2 linked regions of the Anolis sagrei genome follow. The protein of the gene in region 2 purifies or fractionates together with the protein of the main gene of each other region. This does not show direct contact. Links are inferred from orthologs where the notes say so. Each region holds a gene or a part of one and is shown on either strand. Other genes may lie near its edges.

Evidence for each region.
Region 1: the proteins of STRN3 (region 2) and CCT2 purify together in Homo sapiens (affinity purification with mass spectrometry; 3 studies listed by BioGRID and IntAct, with this or other methods). This does not show direct contact. The link is inferred for Anolis sagrei from reciprocal best matches to the Homo sapiens genes STRN3 and CCT2.

What each region holds. Positions count from the first base shown.
Region 1 is NC_090025.1:143,350,783-143,361,367, reverse strand, and holds the start of CCT2 (T-complex protein 1 subunit beta), read right to left. Parts: upstream 4,324-10,585; 5' UTR 4,220-4,323; coding exon 4,217-4,219; intron 120-4,216; coding exon 45-119; intron 1-44. UniProt on the Homo sapiens protein: Component of the chaperonin-containing T-complex (TRiC), a molecular chaperone complex that assists the folding of actin, tubulin and other proteins upon ATP hydrolysis.
Region 2 is NC_090021.1:298,717,114-298,727,227, forward strand, and holds the start of STRN3 (striatin-3), read right to left. Parts: upstream 5,065-10,114; 5' UTR 4,829-5,064; coding exon 4,481-4,828; intron 1-4,480. Other genes in the region: AP4S1 (AP-4 complex subunit sigma-1), read left to right, coding at 5,433-5,437. UniProt on the Homo sapiens protein: Calmodulin-binding scaffolding protein which is the center of the striatin-interacting phosphatase and kinase (STRIPAK) complexes.

The DNA.
Region 1 (10,585 bases), on a different chromosome or scaffold from region 2:
TGCCCAACTATAGTTCCAGATTTTAGAGGTAAGGGTAAACTTACCAAGCGGGCTGTTTCTGCTCTCTCCTCATCAGCACCAGCCTTGAATATGTTCACAGGAGCTAACGACAGGGATGCCTATAATTACAACATTCAACACATAGCAAGCAATTATTTTTGAGATATATTGTCAAATAATATCTATGCCTCCATCCATAACCACACTCACAAACACCTGCTGACACTGCAGGACCTTCTTCCCCTCCTCTTTTCTCTGGAGCTCCCCCGTGTTGTCCAAGCATCTGCTCTGAAGTTTTTCCTATCCTTCCAAAATAGTTTTCTAAAATACGGAAGGGGAACCTCCAGTATCTTAGAATTGCCCTTACAGTCATTCCACACACTGCATTTTACAACATTATTTTTTGATAAATGATATTTGTGGAATCTAACCTCATAGTTACAATTTAACATTTCAATTAAACTTGTTAGGTTGAAGGATAGGATGTCAACCTATTTTTAAGTTTTGCGTACATAAAATAATTCTATTTTGCCACTTATTTGCTATCATAGTTATATATGGTATTCTGAGTCTTTCAGAGTGAACTATGCAGAGGAAAGTTGCATTACAAATGGAATTAGGACTGACTTCACATATACTGTGAATTAATGCAATTTGACATCATTTCAACCACCATGGCTCAATATCCTGGAGTCTTTTTCAGTTTGGTGAGGCACCAGGAGCTTTTCATAGAGAAGGCTAGAGACCTTGTAAAACTAATTCTATAGCACTGAACCATGGAAGCTAAAGTGGTATCAAACTGCATTAACTGCACAGTGCAGATGCATCCATGGTCTCAAGATTGGGTCTAAATACAAGCCTCTATTTAGCAGATAACATGGATCTTGCTTCTCCAACCTTGGGAATTTTACCTCAGCTAATATAAAATAAAAAAATCTTTTTTTCCTATGTTTCCCAGTAATGCTACTTCAGACAGAAAGAGGAAGACAAAGAACAGACTGAACAGGCCTCCTGGATATAGCCCTTCTATAGCTCCCAAACTTTTAAAGTATAAAGTGGCAACAGGAAACAGGGAGATTGAAATCTGCAGGATATACATTTCTGTATTGTGGGTTGAGTCTTCCTTCTTGAAAATGATTGGGATATGAAGTGTTTTGAATTTTGGAATATCTGCAGATACATAATGCAATATCTTGGGGTATATCTACACTTAATATAGTTCACCTCTTTAACTGCCCTGGCTCAATATTACTGAATTCTGGGAGTTGTACTTTTTCAAGGCTTTCTCTTCCAAAGAGTGTTGGTGCATCTCCAAACTGCACATCCCAAGATTCCATGGCATTTCGCCCTGGGAAATTGAGATTGTGTCATTAGTTCTGGATATGGGGCCCAATGTGGTGCACAAGATGGATTCTGTGTACACTGAACCATCAGAAAGCAAAGATGTCACTATATCAACCACTTATGGAAACAATTTTGGAGCAGTTTGGCTTTCCCATTAAGAGACCCTCAACTGGAGTCAGAATGGAGTGTGCATTTGATATAAACAGGAAGAGTTGCGAAGAATAAACCACGAAGGTGCTGTGTAGTACTTTTAGTATTTAACTGTTTTTTTAATGTTATGAGTGATGTATGTTTCAATCTATTTTAATATTTACATGCTGGAGATATTAAATTGTATTGCTTTCCCATTGTTGTGAGCCACTTTGTGTCTAAATAACAGCGATAAAAAATCACAGAGCTACAGATAAATATAGTATTATCTCACATATAAGTCAGTATCTGTATGTATGTTTGTTGTTTTGTTCGTACTCCAAAGGCTCCTCATGGCATGATGGATCTGGACCAAACTTGGCATATGTACACTTCATGATCCAACTTAAGATAATTGAGGGGTCTGAAGTAACAAAGCCACCCCTTTCAGGCCCAAGTCTGCGGGAAAGAAAAGCAACAGAGCTGACTGGGTGTGGCTAGGTGAAGTGGCCCTCTATGACGTGACTGGGAAAGAAAGGGAGCACAACAGCTTGGCTGTTGCTAGGTGGCATGTGTATGAGGCGAAAGAACGAAGGCGGAAAAAGGAAGGGAAAGGAGAAGGAAATGAAGGGGGGAAAGGAAAAGGATTGAGGAAAGTTGAGAAAGGATAGGGGAAAGGTAAGAGGGGAGGGACAGAGAAAGAAAGAATGGAAGAGGGAGGGAAGAAGAAAAGTGTATGAGGAAAAGTAAGAGATAAATGAAAGACTGGAAGAAAAGAGAGAAGAGTGTATGAAGGAAAGAAAGGAAAGAAAGAAAGAGCCATAAAGAAAATGCATACCTGGGTGTATATACCCTAACAACAACAAAAACATTATGTTACATTATTTTTGTTCCTGGGTTATAAATGTCATTTCTAAAAGTATCTACCACCCTATTGGACAGGATTTTAATGGTTATTAGAACTATAATTTATAGCCCGGATACTTAGATCATAGGAATGACTGGTTTTAAATGGCCTTACACACTAGTTTTAGAAGGTCTCATAGTCTTTTAAATTGTTTTTATTTATGTTTATAGTATTGTTTTATACTGTTTTATTAACTGATATGTGAATATTGGTTGTGTTATAATATATATTGTATTTGTTTGTTTTGTTGTAAACCACTTTAAGTCCCTCCAGGGAGGGAGTAGGAAATAAAAGGTAAAGGTTACTCCTTGACGTTAAATCTATGAAGAGCCGACATTGTCCGTAGATGCCTCCAAGGTCATGTGGCCAGCATAACTGCATGGAGTGCCGTTACCTTCTAGCAGAAGCGGTACCTGTTGATCCACTCACAGCTGCATATTTTTGAACTACTAGGTTGGCAGAAACTGGGGCTAACAGCAGGAGCTCATCCCACTCCTAGGATTTGAACCGCCAACCTTTTGGTCAGCAAGTTTAGCAGCTCAATAGTTTAACCCACTGTGCCACTAGGGGCTCCGGGTGGGATATAAATAAAGCTTATTATTATGTTTTCTTATGGTGTCTAACATTAAAACATGGAAAAATAGATTAAACTGCAAAAACTTTGTTCTGGTGGGAGATCCTGTAGCACAGTTGTTCTCAACCTGTGGATCCCCAGATGTTTTGGCCTACAACTCCTAGAAATCCCAGCCAGTTTACCAGCTGTGAAGTTTTCTGGGAGTTGAAGGCCAAACATCTGGGGACCCACAGGTTGAGAACCACTGCTGTAGCACATTTAGCTATAGTTTTTGGACTTCAGCTCCCACCATTCCTAACACCTCAGGTCATTTCCTTTTCCCCCTCAGCCACTAAGTGAGATGAGAGACAGGGCCTTCTTGGTGGTGGCCCCTCAGCTGTGGAACACCCTCCCTATAGATATTAGATCGGCCACCTCCCTTTTAACTTTCCGGAAAAAGTCAAGACGTGGCTTTTTGAACAAGCATTTGCAAATGCAGAGTAACTGACATAGGAAAATGGAACGACTGGACAATGAGTCCGGACAACGTTTTTAACAAGGAGACACTATGAATGTATATTGTATTGATTTGTTTAGTTTTTATTATATGCTTTTAATTGTATTTATAACAATGTAAGCATTGAATTTTTGCCCTGTTGACCGCCTTGAGTCGTCTACAGGCTGAGAAAGGCGGAATACAAATACAGTAAATATATATATATATATATATATATATATATATATATATATATATAAAAAGGCCTGAGAATGTCAGGAATGGTGGGCGTTGGTCCAAAACACCTGGAGGGCCCATGTTCGCCCATGCCTGGTGTAACAGGCCTTAATCCGGGAAGAACCGGGCGTGGACAATGTGAGGATTTGAGTGTGCTGGGCACACAGTCATTACAGATGAAAGGGAGACCATCTCAGGCTTCGGGCCTATATGCTACTAAGCCAAACCACAGGAGCGGCGCCTGCCTTTGTCTCGGGTGAGGAAGGGGGAAGCGAGGGAGGGACTGGAAGAAAGGAAGGGCAAGGCCCACAGGAGAGCCTTGCCTTGTTTCCCAGCGCGCGAGAGCCCCTCATTTTTGGAGAGGCACGCGAGGAGTAGAGCGGGACCGGCTCCTGGCTCCTTCCTCCTCCCTTTAGACCCTTCTAGAACCTTCGGCCCTCCCTGCCTCCTTCCTGCTGAGCCCCTTCCGAAGGAAAGAACGAAGGGACGAGCGGGCGCGCCCTCTCCCTGCCGCCACGCAGCGAGGAAGGCAGGAAGGCCCGGGACTCACCATGGCGACGGCGAAGCGTGGAAGGCCGTTACTCCAACGTTCTGAGCGGCCGCGTGCCCGCACTCAACGAGCGGAGACAACGGATGCCGGAAATGACGTCTCGGCGGAGGGAAGCAGGAAGGAGCGTTGCATGCCGGGAGTTGTAGTCCCCTTCTTCCATCAACTAGGGCAGCGTTTCTCAACCTTGGGGTCGGGACACGGGGGGGGGGTGTCAAATGGGTCACCAAAGATCATCAGAAAACACAGTATTTTCTGTTGGTCATGGGGTTCTCTATTGGAAGTTTGGCCCAATTCTATCATTGGTGGAGTTCTGAATTCCCTTTGATTGTAGGTGAACTATAAATCCCAGCAACTTCAATGCCCAAATGTCAAGATCTATTTTCCCCCAAACTTCACCAGTGTTCACATTTCGGCATATTGAGTATCCATGCCAAGTTTAGTCCAGATCCATCATTGTTTGAGTCCACGGTGCTCTCTGGATGTAGGTGAACTACAACTCCAAAACTCAAAAGTCAATGCCTACCAAACCCTTCCAGTATTTTCTGTTGGTCATGGGAGTTCTGTGTGCCGAGATTAGTTCAATTCCACTGTTGGTGTAGTTCGAAATGCTCTTTGATTGTAGGTGAACTATAAATCCCAGCAACTACAACTCCCAAATGACAACATCAACTCCCAATAATATAATATTGGGAGCCCCGGTGGCGTAGTGGGTTAAAGCACTGAGCTGCTGAGCTTGTTAACCAAAAGGCCACAGGTTCAATTCCGGCAAGCGGCATGAGCTTCCGCTGTCAGCCCTAGCTTCTGCCAACCTAGCAGTTCGAGAACATGCAAATGTGAGTAGATCAATAGGTACCACTCTGGCGGGAAGGTAATGGCGCTCCATGCAGTCATGCCGGCCACATGACCTTGGAGGTGTCTACAGACAACACCGGCTCTTCAGCTTAGAAATGGAGATGAGCACCACACCCCAGAGTCACACATGACTGGACTTAATGTCAGGGAACAACCTTTACCTTTACCTAAAATAATATATTGTATATACATATAATATTTATATTATAATGTAATGCAATATAATACTAATAATAATAATAATGTTATAATTATATATTTATATTACATGTAATATTACTAATAATATTACAATATAATGGTATAGTACAATATAGTAATATTTAGTACTGATATTGTACTATGCTAATAATATAATATATTGTATGTATATATATCTTGTAAGCTGCTCTGAGTCCCCTTTGGGGTGAGGAGGGCAGCATAGAAATGTTAAATAAATACACATCACTTATTGCATCACTAGGCAGAATGGCAGTCCATGGACAAGGGCCAGTTGCTGAGCCATCTGCTGCCAGTCCCTGGAGTGTTTCTAGGGGAAAAAGAAAACATTGAGCACAAATATAATAAAAGTAAAGGTTTTCCCCGATATTAAGTCTAGTCATGTCCGACTCTAGGTGGTGGTGCTCACCTCCATTCCTAAGCCGAAGAGCTGGCATTGTCCATAAACACCTCCAAGGTCATGTGGCCAACATGACTGCATGGAGCGCTGAAGCAATACCTATTGGTGTACTCACATTTGCACGTTTTTGAACTACTAGGTTGGCAGAAGCTGGGGCTAACGGGAGCTCACCCCATCCTGTGGATTCAAACCACCGACCTTTCAGTTAGCAAGTTCAGCAGCTCAGTGGTTTAACCCACTGCGCCACTGGGGGCACCATACAAATATACTGCTGCTCCCTAATATGTTGGAGAAAAACTGTCATATCTTAAGTGTTGACTTGTTGACTTGTACTTTAACATCACAGCTACATGGCACCAGAACCCATGGAAGGAGATCCATAGCATAAGACATTAATGTGCTTTTAAAATAAGGAACTAAAGGTGCATCAACGCTTAGGTTTAAAGCACTTTCATTGTGATGGCTCAATGCTATGAAATCATGGAAGTTGTAGTTTGGTGAGACACAAAACCTTGTAACACCACAACTTTCACGACTGCGTAGCACAGAGCTGTGACAGTTCAAAGTGGTCTCCAACAGCATGTTTAAAGTGTAGATGTACCCATTGACCAGAGGCATAGTTAAGGAGATTAGGTTGGAAGCCAAACAGCAAGTCCAATGCTCTTATATTGCTAAGGCACCATTTTTCTCTCTCATACACTTTAACTCAAGATTGGTAGGCAATAATCCACCCCCATGGGCTATGTTGATTAGAGATCATAGAAATTGTAAGCCAACAAATAAAAACTTCTAGTGGCTTTCAGTTGCTAACTCCCATCCTAGCCCAGTCTTTGTATATCCTCAGCTTAAACTACAATGAGACCTTGGTATCTGCTGGATTATGGTTTTAAGACCCGATACCATAATTAATGGAGACTAAAGTCCCATTATATTCAATGGTGCAGTAAAATTGTATCTCTTATATAAAATGGCACAATCAAAACTTTCCTTTGGGATTTTATTTGGGAGGGGGACATTTTCAAGCTGTGAATGGACTGAATCCATGGATGTCAAATAAGTGGATAGCTTATCAACAAAACTAGAGCTGATGTGATCTATCCAATGCAACATTCTAAATCAGAGCCCAAAATTACCCTAGAAACTAAAAAACCAAGACACCAAAAAAAAAAAAAAAGATCTGTTCAATCAAGACCAAACTTAAAATATGAATGGTTAAGTTGGTGGTAAAAATATCTTTAAAATTCCTGGGTATTAGATCTGGGCAAAGTAGATCATACATTTTATTTACTATACCTTTAGCATCTCGGCCATCACAGTTAATATTGTAGCATGCACAATAATAATCATTTGGACATAAGGAAAAATATAACCCCACCCCAACACCAAAGGAACAAAAGACACTCTTACATAGTAAAAATCAGATATTTTATTGCCATGCTACAGTTCTTATGGAGCTGGCACTGGTGAGGGGACAAGGTTGTCAATAATACAGAATACATTTTAAAATGGACATTGGGTAAGCTCAATGTAAAAGCAAGCCAAAATTAAGTGGTAGCATATGGAGGATGAAAAAGAAAATATATTAGCTGTAGAATAAATGTTACTCTCTTAAAGGGAAGGCTGGAATGTTTGAAAAGAACAATTGTGGGGAAGGTGGGGGTTTAAAACAGTTTGCAAACTGCTCAGGAATATTTTGGCAACTCTTTAGACTTTTTTTTAATAAAATAAAACTCTAGAAAGCTACTTTTATACAAAGTTGCTATATTGATGCCTTTACATAGGAAAACATTTTAAAATGCAAAATTAGGACATACAACAACAGCTTTACAGTATTTTACAATGTAATGACAAAAGTAACATACAGACACCGTTTTGGCTTTTTATAGAAATGTATAGTTAGGCATTTAAGAAACTCATTTGTGGCACACTGGTGATTATAGGACTATACTGTCCATTTTCATGCTAAGACTTTAGATCAGTTGTACTGCAAATTCTGAAACATTATTTTCTTATCTAATCTCACAGTGGTTCTGAAGACATAGGTGAGACTATAATGGAATGAAATGTCATGTCTAAAAACTAAAGAAACAAGGCACCATACTTGCTGGCTGAGACATGCCATATCGGTACATCATACAAACACTATTTTCTTTTACAAAAGTGGAAGCATTTCCTATACATTCAGTAGCAATCAATGTCTTAGAAACAAGACAGCTTGCATCCAGGGTTTGGCAATCATCAGGGGGAAACACAGAATTAGTACCATATATTATTTTTAATACAAAGTGTGTGTATTGCATTGAAAATTAACAGGGCATTCAGGTTGTTGGCATCCATTGCTAAGTAAAATGCGAAGTACATAAATTCCTGAGTGAAGGACCCTCTCCGTTTTCAAACCCAATCATTTTACACACAGTACTCCAAACTTCAATGCACCAATAAAATCAAAATTCAAATAGTAATTTCAACTTTAAACACAAATAGGAATTTTAAACTTTCAGGTTTTTAATAGTACCGTATGTTCAGGCCATATGTGAAAGTTAGACACGTCACTTAATCTGAGGCAAACATGATGCTTTCGGTGAACAGAATGTAAGTTATGTGGGAGAATGTTTAAACAACTCTTTGCAGGAATGGAAGAAGGAAGCAGGGAAAATTTTGTGACAAAGGACTATTTATCATCTTTACTTCACTTTTACACTGCAAACTTATGTTTAGAGATGCAGAGGGGCTGAGGGCAATACTACAAATTCCAATATGAAGCAAATTTAAATGTAGCTGTCCTTGTGACTGGCTGTCACACATTAGGCTGGTTGTCAAACTATTCCAAAAGGCCTTAAGGCATGTATATGTAAAGTATCTATGGTATCTATGTAATCTGGTCCTAAACTGTCAATCAGGTCTAGCCCCAGATTACAAACTTTATGGCAAGATCTCTCATGGCAAACCCTTTATCAACACTCGGGAAGACAGCCTTTTTAAAAAACAGACAATCTCATTCATAATGACAGCTATACATTTCATTTTATACATAAAAGTACTTTTAATTAACATAGCAGAAAGCATGTACTTTACCAAGTATGTACTATGCCAACCTAAAAAAATGCTAATAATGTTTTCAATGCCCTTTGAAATTATAGTTTAAAACTTTCATTGTAAAATTCAATTGTTCATGAACACGAAAAAGCAATGTTGTCAAACATTAAATTTCATTCTCATTCTCTCACACAAAATACTATCCTAGAGTCAATTCTCGGTTGCAACCTATTAAGAGGGTGGAACCCTGGAAAGGAAATGTCCACATCCTGTCCTTCCCCTCACAACAAGATGGGATCCTTCTGGACAATGGAGGCTGCAAGAGACATGCTTGCTGGCAGAAAGGTGGAGTGGCCCAGACTGAGGAGAAGCACCATGAACATGAAGAGCTCAAGTCATATAAGGACCTCCTCCAAGCAGCATTCTGCCTAGCAATCCCATAGCATTCCACTAATCTTCAGAAACAGAAGGGGAAGAGTACGGGAAAGCCCTGGTCCCTGAACTTCCTTCTACTTATGGTTTCAGAATCCTACTGATGCTGTAGTTCAGCAGAACCTCCAAAAAGCATCTTGACTCAAGAACAATATTAAGACGATTAATATCTAGGGTCATTCCACACATTGTTTTTAAAAAGTTAAAATGGACATTTTAACGTTATTTAGTGTTTTAGGATTGGGTAAGTATGTAAAAGTTATTTTGAAGGACACGTGTACCTTGAAACATACACCAGGAACAAATTACAATACTTTAAAATCAAAATATTTTGAGTGGTGTTTGCAAGAACTGGAGTGACTAGCTGCAAAAGACAGCACTGTAAAAGATATTGTTTCATAAGCAGTAAAAGCTGAAGAAATTCTATTGTTTTTATGGGTTAGTCAATAGTGAGAAGTGTAAACTAATATTTCAAGCACTTCGTGAAGATCTTAGTGTTATTATGAAGATATCAGATGGGAAAACACTGTTGTTTGCAGAGGAAAATAAAAACCTAGAACGTGATTATACTAATGATATTAAAGAAAAAAATGATTGGTTAGTACTAATGATGGGAAGATAGGAAAAAAAATGTCAAAATGTTTGTTCAGGCAATATTATCTGAATCTGAATTCAGAGTTCCATGATTTTTTTAAATGTAATGGGGAGAGTATTTACTTCAATTTTTTCTTAGAAAAGTTACAAGAAATTCATTTACTAGAGAAGGGAATAAACTGATTTAAATACCTAAATGGATCCAGGAATCAGAATCTAAATCTTATCAAAATCCACATACGTACCATTATGAGATCACATGCAACACTGCTTGGGCTGAGTCCACTTAATTATCAATCCATAATGTCAAAGACTACTGTACTAATTTAAATAGTAACCTGCACTGCAGTGGAAGAAACAAGAAACAAGAAAAGTTCCAGGCCAAGAAGATTAATTTTGTACAACCTGTTCATTCTTACACTAAATCTGCCCCAACACCCATTTTATATTTTATTTCATCTTTTCTCACTGGTCTAAAAATAAATGGCAAGCTTCCTATACATACATACTTATTTCCAGAAATTCTGCAACTGCACCAACAAACTTTTGACCTTCAGCACACTGTATAAAAATCCAGTACATGTTTTAAAGAACTTTAAAAATAGGAGAAAAAGAATACAAGATGACAAGATAATCTTGAGATGTAGCTCATGTGTAGCTCATTTCTGAGGTCAAATGTAATACCCAAGTTCTCCACTTCTGTTAGAAGCCTTGCTAATTTTGTCTTAGTAAACACATGCAATAGTGCAAAATTATTTGGAAATGAAAAACCATGATAATTTTTTAAAAAATATTGAAAACTAGGGTAGGCCAATGCCCACAAAAAGGGGAAGATC
Region 2 (10,114 bases):
CATTTAAGTTGGATAAGTGAGACTCTACTGTATTTATAAAGAACTACATCGGCACTCTTTCTACAAGACCCCGTGTAATTCATGTGAAGCAGTAAACCACAGAATCTGGATTGGAATGTGAAGATGAATTTTTCATAAGTTTAGGCTTTATTGATGGCAAGATTTTAACAAATATAGATAATGTATTATTTAAACACATCATTCTGAATGCAAATGTGACTCTGCTAGCATCACAAAGGCATGTGCTCCTCTACCACCTTGGTGTACATTGGGGATGGGAATTATGCACCCTCCAGATGTTGTAGTCTCAGCTCCCAAAAGCACTAGCTCAGCAGTAAACAATTATGCAGTTCAAGGGAACAATATCTGGAAGACCTTTTATTCCCACCTCTGGTGGAAATGAACCCTGCAGTCAGCAAAAAGCATTGTCTTTCTTTTAAATGATACACATGCCCATAACACCATTCAGAAGTTTCCAAAATGTTCCCTTGACATCTGCAATATCACCCTTCATCAATCAGATAGTCTTGTCTTGATTTTTTTAATTATCTCTTTTAAAGGACATTTTTTCCTGCTCAGTTTCACAAATTTCAGAGGACTGTTGTTAAGAGGAACTACTATCTATTCTTCCTCCGCCCACCAATCCGGACATTCAGGGTGAGAGATTGTGCAATCTTGGACAAATCAGTACATGTCCACTACCGGTGGTAGTACTAACTATCTTAAGTATCTTAAAAACCAAATATATTATTCCCAAAATGCACATTTTTTCTTTTAAAATACATCACATTTTATTAGACCTACTCTATACACCAAACACTAAACAAAAACAAATTATGGAATACACCCAGGATATATGTAATTTGTTTTTCATTACTGAACACCTTTCAAAAATCAGCCCAGCTTGATACTTAAAGTCTACTACTTCCAGATTTAGTGATAAAAATGCATGCATATTTACATCTATGCATCCATTTTAATTATCATTTGCATATTAGACAACATGCTTAATTAATGACAACTGTCGAAATGACGCAAGACCTTTAAAAAAGAAAAGTGACAAATCCAGATTTACCACCTAGTTTGTGAACAGCAGAAAACTCTCAGTCTGGGATTAAAGGAATCCACATTTCATCCCATTTATCAACCCACCCTTCACGGATATCTCTGCTGATCACATAAGAAATATACATCTTCCTGAGGACTTGCAATTTTCACTGATATTGGAAGCTAAACAGGGTTTGGCTTGATGAATACTTGAAGAGAACCACAAATAATGCATGGGAACTTTAGGTATACCTAAGAGAGAATACTGTCTGAAAGCATGAAGAGCCCCTTTAAGCAGGAGTTTAGTTGGGGAGAAGGACCAACTATCTGACCCAGTCAGCACATATTGATTAACTTTTATGCTTGGGACCATAAGCGTTTTGGATTTTAGGATACCTATGTTAGCAAACACGTACATAATGAAATATCTCAGACATGGAACCCAAACCTCAACATGAAATCTTATAAAGCACAGCCTGAAGCAAGTTTTATATAATATTATAATATTTTTGTGCATGAAACAAAAGTTTGTGTACACTGAATCATAAGAAAATAAATACCACTATCTCAGTCACTGATGCGGACACTTTGGGAATATTTTGGATTCTGGATATGGGCCACTCAACTTGTTTTCTTCTATTCTGTAGCCATGTCCATTTTCTTGCATGGGGGGGGGGGATAGGACTTTCTCTGAGGTTGTCAATACACTGCAGAATTATAGCAGTTTGACATCACATTATCTGCTGTCACTCAATGCTATAGAATTCTGGGATTTGCAGTTTTATGAGATCTATATCTTTCTCAGTCAGTGCACTCTGATGTCACTGGAAAACTACAACTCCCAAGAATCCTTGGAAAGGCACTATGGCACTTTACAAGACTATAATTCAGCAGTGTAGATAGATCTCTTAGGGTCCATCTACCCTGTAGAATTAATGCAGTTGGGCACCACTATGGAATCGGGGACATGTAGTTTGATGAGATAGCACTCTTTGACAGAGAAGGCTATAGGCCTTTTAAAATCATAACTCCCATGATCCCATGCCATTGAACCCTGGCAGCTGAAATGGGTATCAAACTGCATTGATCCCACAGTGTAGATGCACTTTCAGAAATAATCGTATCCCATTTAATTTGTAATTGATCCACTCCTTTGGACTTCACACAAATCTACCATTTGCCATTATTCAGAAATAATAGCAAGGAGGAAGGAAATATGTGCTCTGAGTGATGATGGATGCACTCTCTCCAACGGTGACACTGGCCCCATCTGCGCTGCAGAGAATGCCGTTTGAAGCTGCATTATATGGTCAGTGTAGGCTCATACAATGCAGACTACACTGACCATAGCATGTCATTTCAAACAATATTATACAATCAGTGTAAAACTGCATTATGCAGTATGAAACTGCATTATATGGTCAGTGTAGGCTGCATTATATGAGCCTACACTGACTATATAATGCAGTTTCAAATGGCATTATATGGTCAGTGTAGGCTGCAATGAATGAACTTATACTGACCATATAATGCAGTTTCAAGTGGCATTATATCAGTCATGGGCAAACTTCGGTCCTCCAGGTGTTTGGACTTTAACTTCCACAAATCTTAACAGCCTACTGGCTGATAGCAATTGTTGGAGTTGAAATCCAAAACACTTGGAGGGTCAACGTTTGTCCATGCCTGCATTAAGTGGTCGGTTTAGGCTGCATGGCATGAGCCTACATTGACCATATCATGCAGCTTCAAATGGCAATATATGGTCAGTGTAGGCTGCATTAAATGAAGTTACACTGACCATACAATGAAGTTTCAAGTGGTATTATATGGTTAGTGTAGGCTGCATTGAATGAACTTACACTGACCATATAATGCAGTTTCAAATGGCATTATATGGTCAGTGTAGATCACATTAAATGAAGTTACACTGACCATACAATGAAGTTTCAAATGGTATTACATGGTAAGTGTAGGCTGCATTGAATGAAGTTAAACTGACCATAGAATGCAGTTTCAAAAGGCATTTATCAGGCATGGGCAAACTTTGGTCCTCCATTTGTTTTGGACTTTAACTACCACAATTCCTAACAGCCAACTGTGGGAGATGTTTGCCCATACCTGCATGGTATGGTCAGTGTATGAGTCTACACTGACCATATAATGCAGTTTCAAATGGCATCATAAGGTCAGCGTAGGCTACATTGAATGAGCTTACACTGACCATATAATGCAGTTTCAAACTGGATTCTGAGCAGTGTACAATGGGGTTAGTCAGTCAGTGTCACCGTTTGAGAATGCGGTTAGAGCACGTATTTCCTTCCTGCTGATTTTTGGAATCAGTGCTGTGGAATCAATGCACTTTGGCACCCATCTGCGCTGTCATTTATGAACAAATTCCTCTTGGGTTGTTGTTGGTTTTTTCGGGCTATATGGCCATGTTCTAGAGGTATTCTCTCCTGACGTTTCGCCTGCATCTATGGCAAGCATCCTCAGAGGTAGTGAAGATGCTTGCCATAGATTCAGGCAAAACGTCAGGAGAGAATGCCTCTAGAACTGTGGTTCTCAACCTGGGGTCCCCAGATGTTTTTGGCCTACAACTCCCAGAAATCCCAGCCAGTTGACTGGCTGTTAGGATTTCTGGGAGTTGAATCATAGAATCAAAGAGTTGGAAGAGACCTCATGGGCCATCCAGTCCAACCCCCTGCCAAGAAGCAGGAATATTGCATTCAAATCACCCCTGACAGATGGCCATCCAGCCTCTGTTTAAAAGCTTCCAAAGAAGGAGCCTCCACCACATTGGCTGTTAGGAATTGTGGGAGTTAAAGTCCAAAACAAATGGAGGACCAAAGTTTGCCCATGCCTGATAAATGCCTTTTAAAGGCCAAAAACATCTGGGGACCCCAGAATGAGAATCACTGCTCTAGAAGATGGCCATATAGCCCGAAAAAACCTACAACGACCCAGTGATTCCGGCCATGAAAGCCTTCACCATACATTAAATTCCTCCTGTCGGGATGACAGGTTTGGAGCGGCATTCGATGGAGCCGCTAGGCCGCGAAAGGCCTCGGAAAGGTTCGTCCATTTCCGGACAACAAATGGTCAGAAAGAGCGGCTCCGGGGAGGGGGGGGGGGGAGGATGTGGTGTGCCTCAGGTTTGGAGGCCGAGGAAGAACCGAGAGGAGAAGCGGGAACGAGAGGCCTTCACTTCTTGGACGGGGGCTCCTTTGACAGGCCCGGGCCCCGGCGGGCGCCATGCGAAGCAACCAAAATGGCTGCCCCGGGAAAGGAAGGCAGGCAGGGGGGACTGTGCCGAGTGACGGCGACGACGCCCCGCCACGCCCCGCCGCAACATACACACACACGTTAGCTGTAGTGCCCCCACGTCACGCCCCGAGAGCATGCCCCCTTCCCCTTTCCTTCCTTCCTTCCTTACCTGGAGCTCGGCCCTCTCCACTTCCCAGTGAGCGCGCTCCATCTCGAAGCGGGCCCACTCGTGCTGGATGTAGTGCAGGATCCCCGGGATGGTGTAGTGTTGAGGCCGGGACAGCTCCGACCCTCCTCCCCCTCCTCCGCCGGGGCCCACCGCTTCCTGAGGCGGCGCCGGGCCTTGAGGTGGCTGCTGCTGTTGCTGCTGAGGCGGCAAGCCCCCTCCAGGCCCCGCGCAGCCAGGGCCGAGCAGCGGAGAGTTGGCATTTCCCGCCGCGGGAGGCAAAGGCTGCTGCTGCTGTTGCTGAGGGGCCCTGGGCATGGTCCCTCCGCCGGCGCCGGGGTGCTCGTCCATTGTCCTCCCTCCCGCTCCTTTCCCCCCTTTCCCTTCCGCCTCGCTTGTTCCTTCAGAGGCGCAGTCTGCCAGGAAAGAGCCGGGGACTGGGTTTGGGTGAGAGCCGCGCGTCAGAGCAGCGCCCAAGGCGAGCCGCTGCTTCTGCCGCCGCCGGCCGCCATTACAGCCTCCGCTCCATCATTCTCAGCTCGCTCACTCACTCACCCACCCACACGGTGGGGAGGGGGGAGGAGGAGAGGAGGCTAGCAAGGCATGCTGGGAAAGAGCACCCGCCTTGCTCCGGAGTCGGCGTGATATGCGCCTGCGCGAGAGAGTGCGTCTGAGGGAAGCCGAGGCGAGGACCGCCGGCGTGCGCATGCGCGAGGGAGTCTGAGGGAAGCCGGGGCGAGGAACGCGGGCGTGCGCGTGCGCGAGGGTGTCCGAGGGAAGCCGAGGCTAGGTGCGCGAGTGTCTGAGGGAAGTGTGCGTGCGCATGCGCGACCGTGTCTGAGGAAAGCTGAGGAGAGAGAAAGGGGGAGAGGTTTGTTCGCTCGCTCGCTCTTCTTGGGCGGGTTTGTTTTCTTTCCAATGTCATTCTTTTCCTCGGCCTCTCACCTGTTCCTCTATGAGGTAAAAAAGGGGCACAGCTAGCCTTTATCGCAGTCATAGTCCAGGTGTTTTGGACTAACAGCTGACCATATAATGTAGGTATGGGCAAACTTCGGCCCAGGTGCGCGAGTGTCTGAGGGAAGCGTGCGTGCGCATGCGCGACCGTGTCTGAGGGAAGCTGAAGAGAGAAAAAGAGGGAGAGGTTGGCTCGCTCACTCTTCTTGGGCGGGTTTGTTTTCTTTTCAATCTCATTTTCCTCGGCCTCTCACCTGTTCCCCTATGAGGTAAAAAAAGGGACAAAGCTAGCCTTTATAGCAGGCATGGGCAAACTTGGCCCTCCAGGTGTTTTGGACTAACAGCTGACCATATAATGCAGAATATAATATAATATATTATAGAATACATAGTATATATTAATTTTATATATATATATATAATACAATATTATATATATATATATATATATATAATAAAAATAAATATATGACCATATAATGCAGAATATCTCTGTCTACGAACCCACGCGCTCTCTTCGTTCATCTGGAGAGGCCCTGCTCATGATCCCACCTGCGTCGCAAGCGCGTTTGGTGGGGACACGAGACAGGGCCTTTTCCGTGGTGGCCCCCCGACTCTGGAACACCCTCCCCAAAGATCTTAGACAGGCCCCTACATTGGCAGTCTTCAGAAAGAACTTGAAGACGGCTGTTCCGATGTGCCTTCCCCGAATAGGAAACCTCCAATACCAAGTCCCATAAGCATTTTATTAAAGCTAAGACCGCCGCACACTGGACTTGCCCATAAGCCTCATATTCCACCTGTCACATCAGCACTTTTAACTCTTGTACCCTTACTCTGGCCCGGCCCAGTTTTATTTTGTCTTAGTGGATTGTTCATTGCTTGTTGTTTAGATTGCTTTAATTGTTTTTAATTTGCCTAGGTTTTGTATTGTTGTATTGTGTGTTGAGGCCTTGGCCTTTGTAAGCCGCATCGAGTCCTTCGGGAGATGCTAGCGGTGTACAAATAAAGTTTAATAATAATAATAATAATATATTTCTACAGTGTAGATAAGGCATGGGCAAACTTCAGCCCTCCAGGTGTTTTGGACTTCAACTCCCACAATTCCTAACAGCTGGTAGAAGAAAGAAATACCAGCTGTTAGGAATTGTGGGAGTTTGAAGTCCAAAACACCTATAAAGACATGGTTTAAAATTGACTGGGTAATATATAAAATGTTTAGGACCAGAAGTATTCTGATTTCATATTTTTAGAACTGCTATATTTATATTTGTGCATATATAATGAGCTCTTTTGGAGATTCAAGACTAAACACAAATGTGTTAATGTTTCATGTGCACCTTGTACATATACTCTGTAGGCAATTAAAAAAAATGATTTTGTGCGAAGTGTACATTGAACCCTCAGAAAGCCAAAAATGTCATTGTCATTTCTGAATTTTGGAAGATTTCAGAATTCTAGATAAGAGTTACTCAACCTGCTAATGTTTTACACTTGTGAAGTGTTTCAAAGTGTTCAAAATGCTCCTTGATAGTTCAGTACACATTAGCCATTATCCTCCACACTGCAGACATCGATATGAAATCTGAACACGATAGTACAGGATTTGCATCTCTGACTCTTTGCCATTTTCTTGCTGCCCTTTTCAAAAAATCAAGTCAACTTGACATGAAACTCTATAGTGTAAAATCACTCACACTCTCACAGCTTCTGGAAGCTGTAAAGAGGACTTTACTTGACAAAGGAACTGCCTGAAACATGAGAAGTAGATGTACATTATCTGGGCATGTGCAGAGTACATTCCCCACATGAAGAAGGCCTATGTCAGATGTTAACCTTTGCAGAAAAGTGGAACATTGCTGGTATTTCAGTTATCAGTGCCTCTTAAATGTTTGAACTGGCATTATACCCAGGAACACACTAAATATGACCTGTTATCATTCAAAAGATAGAGAAATGGAAGAAACGATGGGCTGTTGAAAATAATTTTTGCACTGTTAGTAAGTATTTAAATGACTGCAGACATCTACTTTCCATGCTTCAGTCCAATTCCCTTCTAAAGTCTCTTGCTTATAGTAATTTCACTTGCAGTTCATCATCTTTCAGGGGAAGCTACTGTTTATTGCCCCTTTCGTTCACTTAAAATGGTTTCCCTGATGCTGGGTTATGCCAGTAAAAGATTCTTGGCATTCCAATTGCATTCCTCACATGTCTGTAACTGACTTCTTGGATGGACAAGAAGGCCACTTCTCTCACCACATGTACTGTACACTTATTCTCTCCCCCAGGACATGAAGCAGATTGATTCTACCACTGCTGTTGTTATTATTACACTGTCACCAAAAGCAGCAAGGCAGCAAATAGAAACAAGTACAGGCAGCCAGCTACTGGTATCAAATTACTACTATGAATATGAGATTAAATTAAGCGAGGCTAACCTCTCACTGAATAAGGAGGCAGGGCTTTCTGAGTAATCCCTCGAGGGTAGCTTTGGAAACTCCATCTGTAGAAACTCCATTGTGGAGTTGTTTAAAGCAGAGTTAGAGCTTCAGGGAACATGCCTTCTTTGGCCTTTCACAAATTACTCAGTCCTCTTTACAGGCTGGCTCTGTTTCTTAAAAGGAAAAGCTTGATAAACAAACTATATATATGTTGCACTTTATATTTTCACAGAAAGAGCACTTAAAAGTAGGTTTTCTTTAACAAATGGTTCTTTAACAAATGGACTATGGTAAAGTGTCCTTTCCTGCTTTAAATTATTGAGCATAAGGAAGTCTCAAAAGAAATTTTGCTTAAGGTAATTAGACATTTAAGGCCACAGTCTTGAAATCAATGTATAAACTAGAATTAAATATTGCAATTACTGTATATACTCGAGTATAAGCCTAGCTTTTCAGCCCTTTTTTTAGGCTGAAAAAGCTCCCCTCGGCTTATACTTGAGTCAAGGTTATTTATTATTTTACTCTGCTATTAGCATTATTTTTATTTCATGTATTATTCTACTGTATTATTATTACATTTACAGTATTTTACCCTATTATTATTACTACATTTATTATTTTACTTTATTATTATTGCATTTATTATTTTACTCTATTATTACATTTATTATTCTACTCTATTACTACTGTTATTATTGCATTTCCATTATTTTACTTTATTATTATAATTATTATTATATTTATTATTTCACTCTCTTTATTATTGTTGGAAGGATACGTAAGTACATTTACATTGAAGATATGTAATGATTTAATCAGAATTGGGCAGTCTTATCTCAAATTACAGTTTTATGTAAATATTAAAAAACATTTCACCTTCTGATGCCTCAATTAATGTAATTTTATTGGTATCTGTTTTTACTTTGAAATTTACCTGTAGTGGTTGCATTTCCCACCCTTGGCTTATACCCGAGTCAATATGTTTTCCCAGTTTTTTGTGGTAAAATTAGGTGCCTCGGCTTATATTCGGGTTGGATTATACTCGAGTATATACGGTATATTTATATTTTAGCCTCTTTGAACACTGCCTTAGCTTCCATGGTAGGAAAAAGGTGACCCAAATCTGGTGTTGTTGAATATAAGGTGCTTCAAAATTAAGAAGACCTCAACATTATAATATTGTTTACAATTTATTTTGTGATCTGTGTTTAAGCTATATCTCACCTTTCAGTCACTATTCTGTCTCATCACAGAAGTGTCATAACTAAAGCTGCTAGCAATGACCACAATCCATTTTGTGGGATTTTAAAGGTTCTCTTGTGATTTGGAGTTGGAGCTGTTATAAGGAAAGAGGGCCTCCAATGCGCTGTTAAAAGACCTTAATATCCTCTAAGCAATTTTTGTCTTTATCTATAAATTATAGAAATATTAAGTTATTTTTTCACACTGTTAGTGATTAATGTTCAGTAAGCTCTCTGTAAGGAAACCCAGCACTCATCTATAAATAAAATCAAGCATGAGGCAAATGATAGAGCACAAAAGAATTCAGAGTCAAAGTTGGCAGTGAATTACACTGTGGTGGTCACAGCTACTCATAGTTATGTGTAATCCAAATGCAGCAAGAAATATTATGGTACCATGATAGAGGTATTTGCACTTCGAAGCCAGTAGGCTTTCTTGAGTGAAATTGTCCCATCTGCCGTTTTCTAGCTCCTATTTAGCTGCTTGACAGTGTAGATTAGTATTTAAAATTAAGACTATTATTTTGTATTTATTAATCTGGCTATTTCTGGGTAGATGTGCATAGGATCGTAGTGCTTATGGGCTATTTTTGTCCCAGCACTACCTTGGACTCCTCCAGGCTATCATTTTCTAGCAAAGGGGGAGGGCTTAATTGCTTCTTCTGAAACATCCAGGGGCAGTGATTTACCTTTTGAAAAGATTCTTTAACACTAAAGCAAAGATGCATTTGCCCTGGACAGAAACGTACACACTACAAATTTATATAGAAATTACAACAGTTTCTATGAATTTGCTTCTTCAGAAGGACCTTTGGGATTATTGCTTGGCCAGATCAGAGGCAAGAATACAAAAAAAAAGTTTTCTGCCACTCTCAAATCTGTTTTGTTTTTATTTCCTGTTCCCCTCTTTCCTTCCCCTCTTTTTTATTTTGCAGTCCATATACCTCCAGAGGGACCCGGAAATAAAGAAATGTGGCCCCCTGGACCTACAGTTACCCACT